2 linked regions of the Coturnix japonica genome follow. The protein of the gene in region 1 purifies or fractionates together with the protein of each later gene. This does not show direct contact. Links are inferred from orthologs where the notes say so. Each region holds a gene or a part of one and is shown in the gene's direction. Other genes may lie near its edges.

Evidence for each region.
Region 2: the proteins of POLR1E (region 1) and POLR2F purify together in Homo sapiens (affinity purification with mass spectrometry; 4 studies listed by BioGRID and IntAct, with this or other methods). This does not show direct contact. The link is inferred for Coturnix japonica from reciprocal best matches to the Homo sapiens genes POLR1E and POLR2F.

What each region holds. Positions count from the first base shown.
Region 1 is NC_029547.1:66,745,810-66,753,368, reverse strand, and holds the start of POLR1E (DNA-directed RNA polymerase I subunit RPA49), read left to right. Parts: upstream 1-3,015; 5' UTR 3,016-3,090; coding exon 3,091-3,151; intron 3,152-3,227; coding exon 3,228-3,331; intron 3,332-5,153; coding exon 5,154-5,230; intron 5,231-7,207; coding exon 7,208-7,293; intron 7,294-7,559. Other genes in the region: ZBTB5 (zinc finger and BTB domain-containing protein 5), read right to left, coding at 1,510-1,637. UniProt on the Homo sapiens protein: Component of RNA polymerase I (Pol I), a DNA-dependent RNA polymerase which synthesizes ribosomal RNA precursors using the four ribonucleoside triphosphates as substrates.
Region 2 is NC_029516.1:46,598,890-46,603,137, reverse strand, and holds the start of POLR2F (DNA-directed RNA polymerases I, II, and III subunit RPABC2), read left to right. Parts: upstream 1-1,448; 5' UTR 1,449-1,545; coding exon 1,546-1,565; intron 1,566-1,871; coding exon 1,872-1,941; intron 1,942-2,030; coding exon 2,031-2,161; intron 2,162-3,598; coding exon 3,599-3,670; intron 3,671-4,248. Other genes in the region: C1H22orf23 (UPF0193 protein EVG1), read right to left, coding at 391-576, 1,045-1,107, 1,307-1,385. UniProt on the Homo sapiens protein: DNA-dependent RNA polymerase catalyzes the transcription of DNA into RNA using the four ribonucleoside triphosphates as substrates.

The sequences.
Region 1 (7,559 bases):
TCACTCTCTGACCTAACAGCATTTTCAAACTGCAGGAAAAAAAATAGAGGATCTTTAGTTAGCAGCAGCTTAAATGAATTCTGGGTTTCTTCCATACAACTGAAGTAGTCATCAGTGTTACATTGCATTCACATATGCACTAATATGCCAAATGCCAGCTGTGAAAGGCATTCTTTGTGTGTGCCTGAAAATGACACAGGAAAACACCAGCAATTAGCAACCTTGATGACTGTCAATTTAACTCAGAGCAGCTCATCTGAAGTTTCTGCTTTGCCAGGTGTTCATCTCACAGCATTTGTTTCCCAGTGATCAGGGAGGATGAGTTATTACTTGCCTAAGAATCAGAAAACTGTACTGCAAAAGCTGCTGCTGATTGCACCCACCTTCCAGGGAAGAGATTACTTTGTAATGTAATATGCTCTCATCACTTGAAAAGTATTAACAACCCATATTGCAACCTATAGCAATACTAGCCTATCAATAAGCACTAACAGCCTAGCCTTGTCAGCTGCAAAGAGCAATTCTAAACGGAGCAACTGAAAACTTTGTTAAAAATGCTAGATATTTCTTAGACATTCTTGATTATCTGGAAGAACTGTCCAACTTAGCTGCGAGATCTGGTTTAGTGTTTGCTGTAGCTACAATATTGGGGTGACGGTTGGACTGGATGATCTTGTAGATCCTTTCCAACCTGGTGATTCTGATTCCCCAGTGATTCTGACAGTGGCTTTGTGAGAGGCTTTAAACAAACTCTAGGCAGAAACTTGCTGAAGAAAACTGTTCTTGCCACAGAAGTGACTGTAACAGAGTAACAAGGCCAGCTCTACAAAGATTGCATTAGTATCCTGTCTTCAACCTAGCAAAGTACCTATATCCACATTGCTGATTCAACCCACCACTGTGTTGCTTTATATAAGAATGGCTGAATGATCTGCTTATGGTGATCCAAAACTCACTGAAAAAACTCCAACCCTGTCATTCCACACACAGAAGGAAGTAAGTCTATACAAATGACTTACAGGGCTCTGTGTATTTTATGACATGGCTGCTGAGCGAGGGCCTGCATACCACCCTCATGTAAATCTGCACCAGCAGAGGTGACATCTGTCACCACTGCTGAAACGCAGCATCCACCGCCTCACTGTGCCCACATCCACTCTTTGTGCTCCATAAAAGTTTAGCACACATGAAAATGCATTGCTAATGGTGGTTACCATGCTGAAGAACAGTGCTTGGTAACGGAGCATTTGCTCTACCAAGTGATCTAACTGTTGTAGTTTCCACAGACATAAACAGGAGGCATTACTTTCAGAGCAACCTATGTAGCACACACAACGATGTGAAACAAAAATATTTTAGTAAATAACAATTGCCATGATTTTCAAGTGTGGATGCTGAATCAAACTCCTGAGCAATTCTGAAAGGGTAGAGGAAGAAATTAAGCACATCTGGTCAGCTCCAAGACACAACTGCGTTCTGGACTTGACACAGACATCAGTGCTGACTGACCTTTCTCCTGTAACAGACAGGCTTACGGCACAGCAGCAGACTGGCTCCCAGCTTATCCACCACATGGGTCTGTCAGCATGAGACAAACCATCAGCTGCAAGACGGGTGTAACAGATGCCCCACACCATTAGAGAATCACAGAATTAGCAAGGTTGGAAAAGATCATCTAGTCCAACAATTCCCAATACTTCCAGGCTAAATCATATTCCTCAGCACCACATCCAAACATTTCTTGAACACTCCCATGCTCGGTGACTCCCCCACCTCCCTGGGCAGTGCATTCCAATGCCTGAATACTCTTTCTGAAAAGTAATACTTCCAAATGTCCAGCCTGAATCTCCCCTGACGCAGCTTAAAACCATTCCCTCTAGTTCTAAGTTCCAAGTTAGCAAGAAACAGCAGGTAGGGACAGAGGCGCTGTCACAGAATCACAGAATTGTAGGGGTTGGAAGGGACCTCTAGAGATCATTGAGTCCAACCCCCCTGCCAAAGCAGGCTCCCTACACCATGTCACACAGCTCGGCGTCCAGGCGGGTCTTAAATATCTCCAGAGAAGGAGACTCCACCACCTCCCTGTGCAGCCTGTTCCAGTGCTCCGTCACCCTCACTGTAAAGAAGTTCTTATTAAGGAACTTCCTATGCTGTACTTTCATCCCATTACCCCTAGTCCTATCCCCACACACTACTGAAAAGAGACCAGCCTCACCACTATGGCCCCCACACCTCAGGTATTTATAAACCTGGATCAAGTCCCCTCTCAGCCTTCTTTTCTCAAGGCTCAACAGACCCAGTTCCCTAAGTCTCTCCTCATAGGGGAGACGCTCCAGGCCCTTCACCATCTTTGTGTCCCTCCACTGGAGTCTTTCCAAGAGATCCCTGTCTTTTTTGTACTGGGGAGCCCAGAACTGGATACAATATTCCAGATGAGGCCTTAATAGGGCAGAGTCGAGTGGGAGGATCACCTCCTTTAACCTGCTGGACACACTCTTTTTAATACACCCCAGTATGCCATTGGCTACAAGGTGCTAGCAGCGTGTTAGCACCTCCCCAACCCAAGTACCGTCCTCCACATCACGGCTATGATGAGCAACGACATGAACGTGAGACAGGAGGGCCTAACCCCAACCCTAACCCTAACCCCAACCCTAACCCTATAACCCTATAACCCTATAACCCTCCTAGCATCACACCAGGACCCCCTCACACCCCACCCCTCGTGTAACGCATCCCATCGCTCTGTCCCTCCCTCCAGTGACCGCAGTGGGCACCGCCGCCGTTACAGACCCGCTCCAGGCTCCTCCTTCAGCACCAGTGAAGCAGTGCGGGCAGCGGGGCCGGCACACCGCCTGTTGTTCCCGTGCTGTTCCCCTGTTGTTCCCCGCTCACACCGGGCCCAGCGGCACCGAACCCGCCGCGCTACGACGCTCCGGCCCCGCGCTCCACCCCCGCTCCCACCCTGTCGCCGCGTCGGCCGGAAATGACGCCATATTGACGAGAGGATGTGACGTCATCTCGGAGCGCCCCCACCGGAAGTGCCGCCATTACGGCGTGGCGCCTGGCCTGTTCCTGTGTGTACCGGGTATGGCCACCGCCACGTGGAGATACCGCGGGGATCCCGAGCAGGAGCAGCCGGCAGTGCTGGGTGAGCAGAGATGCGGGATGGGCGGTGCGGTGCGGTGAGGTGCTGAGGGACTCACGGCCTGTTTTATCGCCCGTAGTGACGTTCTCCAATGGGCAGCTGCAGCGACCCGACGCCGTGCGGTTCTCGCTGTACCGGAGCAGCGAGGTGTCCAACCCCAGGAAGAGAAGGCGGAGGATCCTGGTAAGGCCCGGCATCACCGGGGGTGGGATCTATGGGGTCTATGGGGTCTCTATGGAGAATCTGTGGGGTCTCTGTGGGGAATCTGTGGGGTCTGTGGGGTCTCTATGGGGATCTATGGGGACTGTGGGGTCTCTATGGGGTCACTATGGGGATCTGTGGGGTCTCTGTGGGTCTCTATGGGGGTCTCTATGGGGATCTATGGTGTCTATGGGGGTCTATGGGGATCTCTGGGGTCTCTATGGGGTCTCTATGGGGGTCTCTATGGGGTCTCTGTGGGGATCTGTGGGGTCTCTATGGGGTCTCTGTGGGGATCTGTGGGGTCTCTATGGGGATCTATGGGGTCTCTGGGTCTCTATGGGGGTCTCTATGGGGATCTATGGTGTCTATGTGGTCTCTGTGGGGATCTGTGGGGTCTATGGGGTCTCTATGGGTCTCTGTGGGGTCTATGGCGTCTCTATGGGGGTCTATGGGGTCTCTATGGGGATGTATGGGGTCTATGGGGTCTCTATTTGGATGTATGGGGTCTCTATGGGGGTCTATGGGTCTCTATGGGGTCTCTGTGGGGGTCTCTTTGGGGTGTATGGGGTCTCTTTGGGGTGTATGGGGTCTCTTTGGGGTCTCTATGGGGGTCTATGGGGTCTCTATGGGGATCTAAGGGGTCTCTATGGGTCTCTATTGGGATCTATGGGGTCTTTATGGGGATCTGTGAGGGTCTATGGGGTCTCTATGGGGATCTCTATGGGGGTTTATGGGTATCTGTGGGATCTGTGGAGTCTCTATGGGGATCTGTGGGGGTCTTTGGGGTCTCTATGGGGATCTATGGGGTCTCTATGTGGGATCTTTGGGGTCTATGGGGTCTTTATAGGTCTCTGTGGGGTCTATGGGGTCTCTGTGGGGATCTGTGGAGTCTCTGTGGGGATCTATGGGGTCTCTGTGGGGATGTATGGGGTCTGTGGGGTCTCTATGGGGATGTACGGGGTCTATGGGGTCTCTATGGGGATGTACGGGGTCTGTGGGGTCTCTATGGGGATGTATGGGGTCTATGTGGTCTCTGTGGGGATCTATGGGGGTCTGTGGGGTCTCTGTGGGGATCTGTGGGTCTCTATGGGGTCTCTATGGGGATCTATAGGGTCTCCTGGGCAACCTGATCTAGTAAATGTGTATGTTTGGTGGCCCTGCTAGGCAGGGGGGTTGGAACTACATGATGCTTGAGGTCCCTTCCAACCTGGGTCATTCTGTGATTCTGTGAAAGTCCTAAAGATCATCCAGTCCAACCGTTCTCCTATTACCAATAGCTCCCCCTAAACCATGTCCCTCAACACAACATCCAGTCGTTCCTTGGGCACCCCCGGGGTGATGATCCTCTGGTTTGTAATGTTGCCTTCCCACAGCTCTGTGCCACTTGGCTCATTCTGACATCTAACACTTGTTCTGTAAACCGAGAAAGGCTTTGAGTAACTGCATCAAGCAACCTTAAGCACTGCGAGTAGGATGTGCAGGTGACTGGTACAGAATGCTCCTTTCCACTGCCTCTTTCACAGACTGCTCCTACTGCTTTAAAGGATGGTTTATTTATTTACTTTATAAAGTATAAAGTAAATGGAATATGTAAAGTAAAGTAAAGGAATATGATTTAGCTGAGAAATATCGGTAATGGTTGGACTAGATGATCTTGTAGGTCTTTTCCAACCTTGATAATTCTGTGATTCTATGGTGACCGTGGCAAATTTGAGCTTTGTGTCACTAGAGATACAGTACATGCAGGAAAATATGCACTTTCAAATAATGCACTCTTCAAGTAATTTTTTTCTTTGTTTGTCAGGTTTCAGAAACTGAAAGGCTTTCATACGTGGGGAATAACTTCAGCAGTGGATCTATGAAAAGCAACTCCCTATGCAGGTATGGGTAGCTGGCAACGCTGTGGCAGAAACAGGGAGGGGAAAGCAGAGGAACTGCACAAATAAAGTATTTTCTGTAGCCTTCTGTATTGGGGACTGATGAGTTCTCATTGAGACCATGGTGTGAATGGAGAGGATTGGGGCAGTTGATATAATCTCCTGGCAGCTGCACCATTTTGCATGTTGTGATCTTACACATAAGTGGAGTTTAGGTCTGCTGGAGGGAAGAAAAGTGAGAAGGTGTCTGCACATAGCTGAAACCTATGGACAACAGCATTATTCCTTCTTAACTGTTGTCTCGCTCCAATTTAGGAGTGAGGCAAAGGTTCTTTTAATAATGTTATGCCCGGCGTGAGATTAAGAAGAAGAGCATTCAAATGTTGATCCGACCAGTTTATTGGAAATAATAGACAATTGAGGGGATGGGGAAGGGAGAGTGACGAATGCCAAAATTAGGGTGATGGGGAAGGGAAAGTAGGCGATAGAAAAAGGTAGAAAAGAGCAAGAATTACGTTAAAGCGGGGAATAGTCACCTCCTGGATGCAGCAGCGTCCCGTAGCACGTTGTTAACGTTGGTCCGGGGCAAAATAAGCGTAGGGGAGAGCAGCAACGGAGTAGCAGGCTGCAAACAGCAGATCGGTGAATCGCAGAAAAGATGGTCAGAGTACCGTGGTCTCTAGAAGCAGAGTCTCGGGCAGCGAGGTCCCTCGGAGCAGAGTCTCGAGCAGCAATCCCAGAAAAGAGAATAGGCAGCAGTAGGACAACGGTGGAGGAATCTGAGGTCGGATACCTAGATGCCCACAAAACCGTGGTTTGTCCGTGCCCTTTTTATCCTTCTTTCCAGCCTTCCAGAGATTTCGGGAAGGCTCGGGTCAGAGTCCTGTGACTTCCTCAGAGATGTCAATCTTCCTTGAGATGGGCCAACAGGAAAGACCACTTAAGGGCCATTAGTCCTCAGGGATGGCCATCTTCCTTGAGATAGGCCAACACAAAAAGACCACTCAAGGGCCATTGATCAGTATCTTATCTCCCTTTCGTAGCTCCCGGACTTGTCCATCTCCTGTGTGTCTCAGACAAAGGCAGTCCTGGAACCTTGGCCAGGACTTGCCTGAACTTGTCCATTTCAGCAGACTTTGAGACAGTAATGTAAAAAGCATGGCTTCTTACAACTGTCAAGATCAGTATCTTGTTCAGGAAACCAGTGGGTCATTAGTCACCGTTTAACTTCGGGGCCACAGTCTGGTGGTGCTGTATGAATTAATAACTTGTCTGTGCCTCATGCTGCAATGGGAAGCCTTGGTGAAATCACCAGTTTTCACATGTCCTGGTTTCAGAAGGTGAACTTTGTAGCCTGGAGACAAATCCCGTGAATTCCTAAGAATTATTTTGCATGGGGGATCATTCCCATCCTCTAGCAGAATGACCTTTTGTATAGGTGGAAAACCAGTGTAAAATCATCTCACTTTGTCATATCTAACCTACAGAGCTCTGATGTACGTTTGGTGTGGGTGTCAGGCTCCTGTTAGCAAGCGCTTTGCCCCATGAATGTGCTACATTCATCCTGCAATATTTGCTCGTGGTTTATTTCTACTCTGACTATGGGGACTACTTAAAGTAGAAGTGGGGTGACACAACAAAGAGTAAACAGAATTGCAGAAACTGTTAAGATGAGGTGCTTCCAGCCATTTAATGTCCTTATGTTAGTTCTTTTGAAAGGGTCGTGATATAGATTATTAAATTTTTCTTTCCAAATACAAACTAGATGACATTTAAAGGTCCCCTCCAACTCTAAGGATTCTATGAGTCTGTTCTATGATTCTGTGGTGAGGAGCAGCACAAACTATTTGGGTTTGCTCGTCTGAAGTGTGAAATGAAAAAGATTTGACTTGCTAGAAATTAACCTATTCTAGAGATTTTAAGTTCATTTTTCTCAGCTCTGAGAGTCTCATTGGTTATCACTTGCACTTGTTCTCCCCAGGTATTTTCTTGGTGTTTTAAACAAGGATTCTGGGCAAATGGAAGTCTATAATGCTGAAATATTCAACATGCAACCTTTACTGTCAGGTAGGACAATTCTTTATTTAACCCTTTTGTGCCAAGGTCACAATGTCCTGGAAATATGTGTGCATTCAAAATTGACTAATTTGCTACTGACAGCATTGCACTCTGTTTCCTCCTAGTCTTATTTCTGCTGTGCTGCCTTAGGATGAGGGAAGAAGGATACATCACTCTGTCCACTCCTGGGGAGCAGTGTGGCATGAAGAAAGGGAGAATGAAGCAAAATCATAGCTAATATTGAGGGAAAGGTTAAGCAGAGAGCTTGGGGGTGG
Region 2 (4,248 bases), on another chromosome or scaffold:
GCCCTGCTTTGCTGTTAACGATGGCAGAGGAAGCATGATGTAAGTGACAGCACAGCCCCAGACTGAACTCTGCTACACATGGTAATGGGCAAACCAGTCTGAGCTCTAAAGTTTCACCCTTGTTTACAAGCTAGAAAATTACACAGTGATCTCTTCTTACAAAGGATTGTGCAAGTTCCTGTCACCTATTGTCCCCCTGGGCAGCAGGCAGAACTCTGTGAGCATTTGCAGCAGGCGCTCCCTCAGAGATCTCCCTTTAAAGCATCTTTGAAGACAGAAAGCATGAAGAATAATTAAGGATATTCCCTAAAGGTGCTGAGGGGTTAGACATAAGGGAAAGAGAAGAACTGGACAGCATGATTTATTTATCTGTGATGTTTGCTTACTTACGCCTTGCCTGTGGCCTGAATTTCTCTCGGATGTAGGCATCTCCTGCTCGGCAGACCTCAGCAGGCCGAAGATGGGGTTTAGCTGGCAGCTTGCTTGGCTGATGGCACGGTGGGGAGGAAGCAGGAGGCGCGAGCACTTGTTCTTGGCTGGAGGTAGGGTGGCATTGGAGGGGCAGAGAATCTCCCCCTGGAGAACAAACCCAACATATTGATGTCAGATGCAGAGGAGTCTGGGCAAGTGGCCCCAGCCTACCACCAGCAGAAGGTCATAAAACCATAAAATGGCTTAAGTTGGAAAGGACCTCAAAGACCACCCTGTTCCAACCTCCTGCCATTGGTAGGGCTTCCATCCACCAGGTCAAGCTGCTCAACTTGGCTTTGGGCACCTCCAGAGGTGGGGCACCCACAGCTTCTCTGGGCAGCCTGTGCCAGCACCTCACCACCCTCTCAGTGAAAAATTTCTCCCTAATATCTAACCTAAATTTCCCCTCTTTTAGTTTAAAGCCATTCCCCCTTGTCCTGTCACCATTACGCAGTGTAAAAAGTCCATCTCCATCCTTGTAAGCTTCCCTCAAGTACTAGAAGGCCGCAGTGCAAGCAGCAGAGAGCGTTCAGCACAGTGCTGGGGAAGGAGTGCCAGGTGGGAAGCACTCACGCCTCAAACAGTCCATCAGGAATCGCCTCTGGAAACTCGTCAGCTTCGACTCCTCCATCAGGGCTAAAAAACAACAGCTACGTGTTACTACACAGCACAGTGGGCTGCCCCGGCCCCGCAGAGCCCAGGACACGGCCCAGGACAGGACCCAGGACAGGATCCAGGACAGAGCCCAGCACAGGGCCCAGCACAGGACCCAGGACAGGGCCCACAACCGCCTTCCCCGAGTCCCCGCGGCCTTCCATCCCTCATAACCCGTTACCTCTCAGCACCTCTCGTGTCTCGGGGCTGTACCGGGCTCTGCCTCTTCCCGCTGGCCTCGTTCCCGTCGATAAGGCCATGGCTGGTGGCGACGGTGGGAGAACAATTAGGGACAGCGGGGCAGGCGGAGCCGCGTCCTGTCTCTGTGGCAACGGCGCCGCCGGTTTACTTCCGGAAACGTGACGTCACGGCGCACGACCGGAAGTGGGTAGTACTTCCGCCGGGGAGCGAGGAAACAAGATGTCGGACAACGAGGACAAGTGAGAGTGGGGCTGAGGCTGAGGCTGAGGCTGAGGCTGAGGCTGAGGCTGAGGCTGAGGCTGAGGCTGAGGCTGAGGCTGAGGCTGAGGCTGAGGCTGAGGCTGAGGGCTGAGGGCTGAGGGCTGAGGGCTGAGGGCTGAGGGCTGAGGGCTGAGGGCTGAGGGCTGAGGCTGAGGGCTGAGGGCTGAGGCTGGGGGCTGGGATCAGAGATCAAAGCCTGGACTTAGAGACGGTCCAGCGCTAAGTCCGAGTCCAGGCGCTGTCTCCCGGCCTGTGTGCGATGTGTGCTTGCCTGTCTCTCACAGCTTCGATGGGGATGACTTCGATGATGTGGAGGAAGACGAGGGGCTGGATGACCTGGAGAACGTGGAGGAGGTGGGTGCTCTGCGGGGCTCCGATCATGGATCATTCCGGGTCATGGAGTCAGCCCGTAACGGTGCTGTGTCGTGCTGTGCTTTACCCAGGAGGGACAGGAGAACGTGGAGATCCTCCCCTCCGGAGAGCGCCAGGCAGCGAACCAGAAGCGAATCACCACCCCCTACATGACCAAGTATGAGAGAGCCAGAGTGCTGGGCACACGTGCCCTCCAGATCGCGTGAGTATTAGCTGGATCCCTGCTGTAGGACTGTGTGCTTCTCATGGCTTGACCTGTTAAAGCTCCTTCCTTTCTCCCTAAAGCCTTAAGTGATTCTTTACCTGGCGGTTCCGCTTGGGAATCGCCATCTCCATCAACAGTGAAAAGCAATAAAAAGCAATACTGTGAGCTGTCAGCCACACGTGAGTTCTGAATCTCACCCCAGCTGATGCTGTGGGTCACAAGCAGATGGAGTGGGTAACGTGGCATTCTGGTTCTGCTTTCTGCCTTCTATAAGGCAGCCAGCATGAGCTGGGAAACTCAGAACTACTACTGCAAAGTTCAGCTTTGAGGAAGCTGAATAAAAGTAATAAAGTAATATCATTAATTATTATCACAAGGCTATCAGAACTCTAGGAATGGCACAGCTGTCTTGAAATACTAAGCATACGGTTATATTGTGGCACACTGTATGTTCACTAACTATTTGGAATAGTGGAGCATCACTTCTAATAGGTAATAACATTTAAATCCTCTTTTAAGCACTCCTTAAGACAAGTTCCTCTCAAATTCTTCCTTTTATCTGTCCAGATCTGTTTTAGTAATGCCTGCTAAAACCTTTGTGATCTTTGAGAAACTGCTGTGTAAGTGAGATGATTAGGCTGTGTTGAAATTGGTCTGAAAGGAATCTTAGCTACATCCACCCTGAAAATGAAGCTGATTCGATTACCACCAATGAGCTTCTATGTGATCTTTGCTTAATCATCACTTTGCTGAGCTATTCTTCGCCTGGTTATCACTCCAGGAAGGAATTCTGTGCATGTTGTTTCAACTGGTGGCAGGCCAGAAGGATGGAAGAGATGGGATGAGCCAGTGCCAGGCATTTAATACAAAACACTGGTGCCTGGTCTCTATCACCTCCGTATTCTGTTGACTATTGATGTTGACTCTAGGCCAGCAGCAGCCCCCCAGTGGCTTTACCCACACATAATGTGAACTTCTGTTGCTTCTGCTGCCACCTGAGACAGTTGTCAACTGTGTTTGCTTTACTGTTACAGCCCTCACCAAAACGCATTTGTTTTTTTGCTCTAGAGATAGAGTGCATTATAAATCTAGCCCTTTGTTTTCCTTTGAAGGAAGCCTTGAAGATTCAAGCAAGTCAGATTCCCATTTTATAGTGTTCCAACTCTATTATTTTTAATTTTAGATCTGCCCTTATTCTTCACATATAAGTACAGCACAGTGAGACTAGACAGGTGTGGTTCTGACCAGCACTCAAGTCCCAGCTGACTTGCAGAGGATGAGGGGTGGATTAAGAGCATTCAAATGAAAACTCAATCCGTAGCCACTTGGGGATAACCTTTGTCCCAGAGTGGATAAGAGTGCAGCATGCAGTCATATGTTGGCCCTTCTGTCTTTCTGTACATTCTCTGAAATGGCTGTTGCTGTTTGTCCCAGGATGTGTGCACCCGTGATGGTGGAGCTGGAAGGAGAGACAGACCCCTTGCTGATTGCCATGAAAGAACTCAAGTAAGTCCCAGCCTTAGGCAGTGTATGTATTGTTTTCTACAAAGCAAGCTATCCTCTGCTTATCTCAGCACTTTACAACTTATTCCATGCAGTATATTCTAAGACAACCTTCTTTTTTTATCAACCACGGTGAGTTCTGCAGTTTCCTTCCACTTTTCCTCCTTGGACCTTCTCCACAGCTTCTCCCATCCTAGGAGTTCTTGCTGATGATGAGCAGTGCTCTGACCTCTTTTTATATAAGAGTCATTTCTATGATGAGAACCAAAGATCCCCATAAGGAATCAGTTTAATTCTCTGAAAGGAATTAATTTGAAGCAGCCTTCTGAACAGACCTGTGCTCAGATGAATTGCTGACTTAAATAAACAAAACTGGGGTCAGGGTGGTGATGTGGAGACTCTGGTCAGAATGTTGTTTCACTGCACCCTTCTATACTTGGCTTATTGTGCTGGCAGGAGACGCACCTCTTGCATACAGAGAGATTGATTTGAACCTTTTCTGGCAGTTTCTGGATCACTGCTTAGAGGCCCACAGCAGAGTGCCCTGGTGGCACACAGTTTGCCAGTGTAGAAAGCAGGTT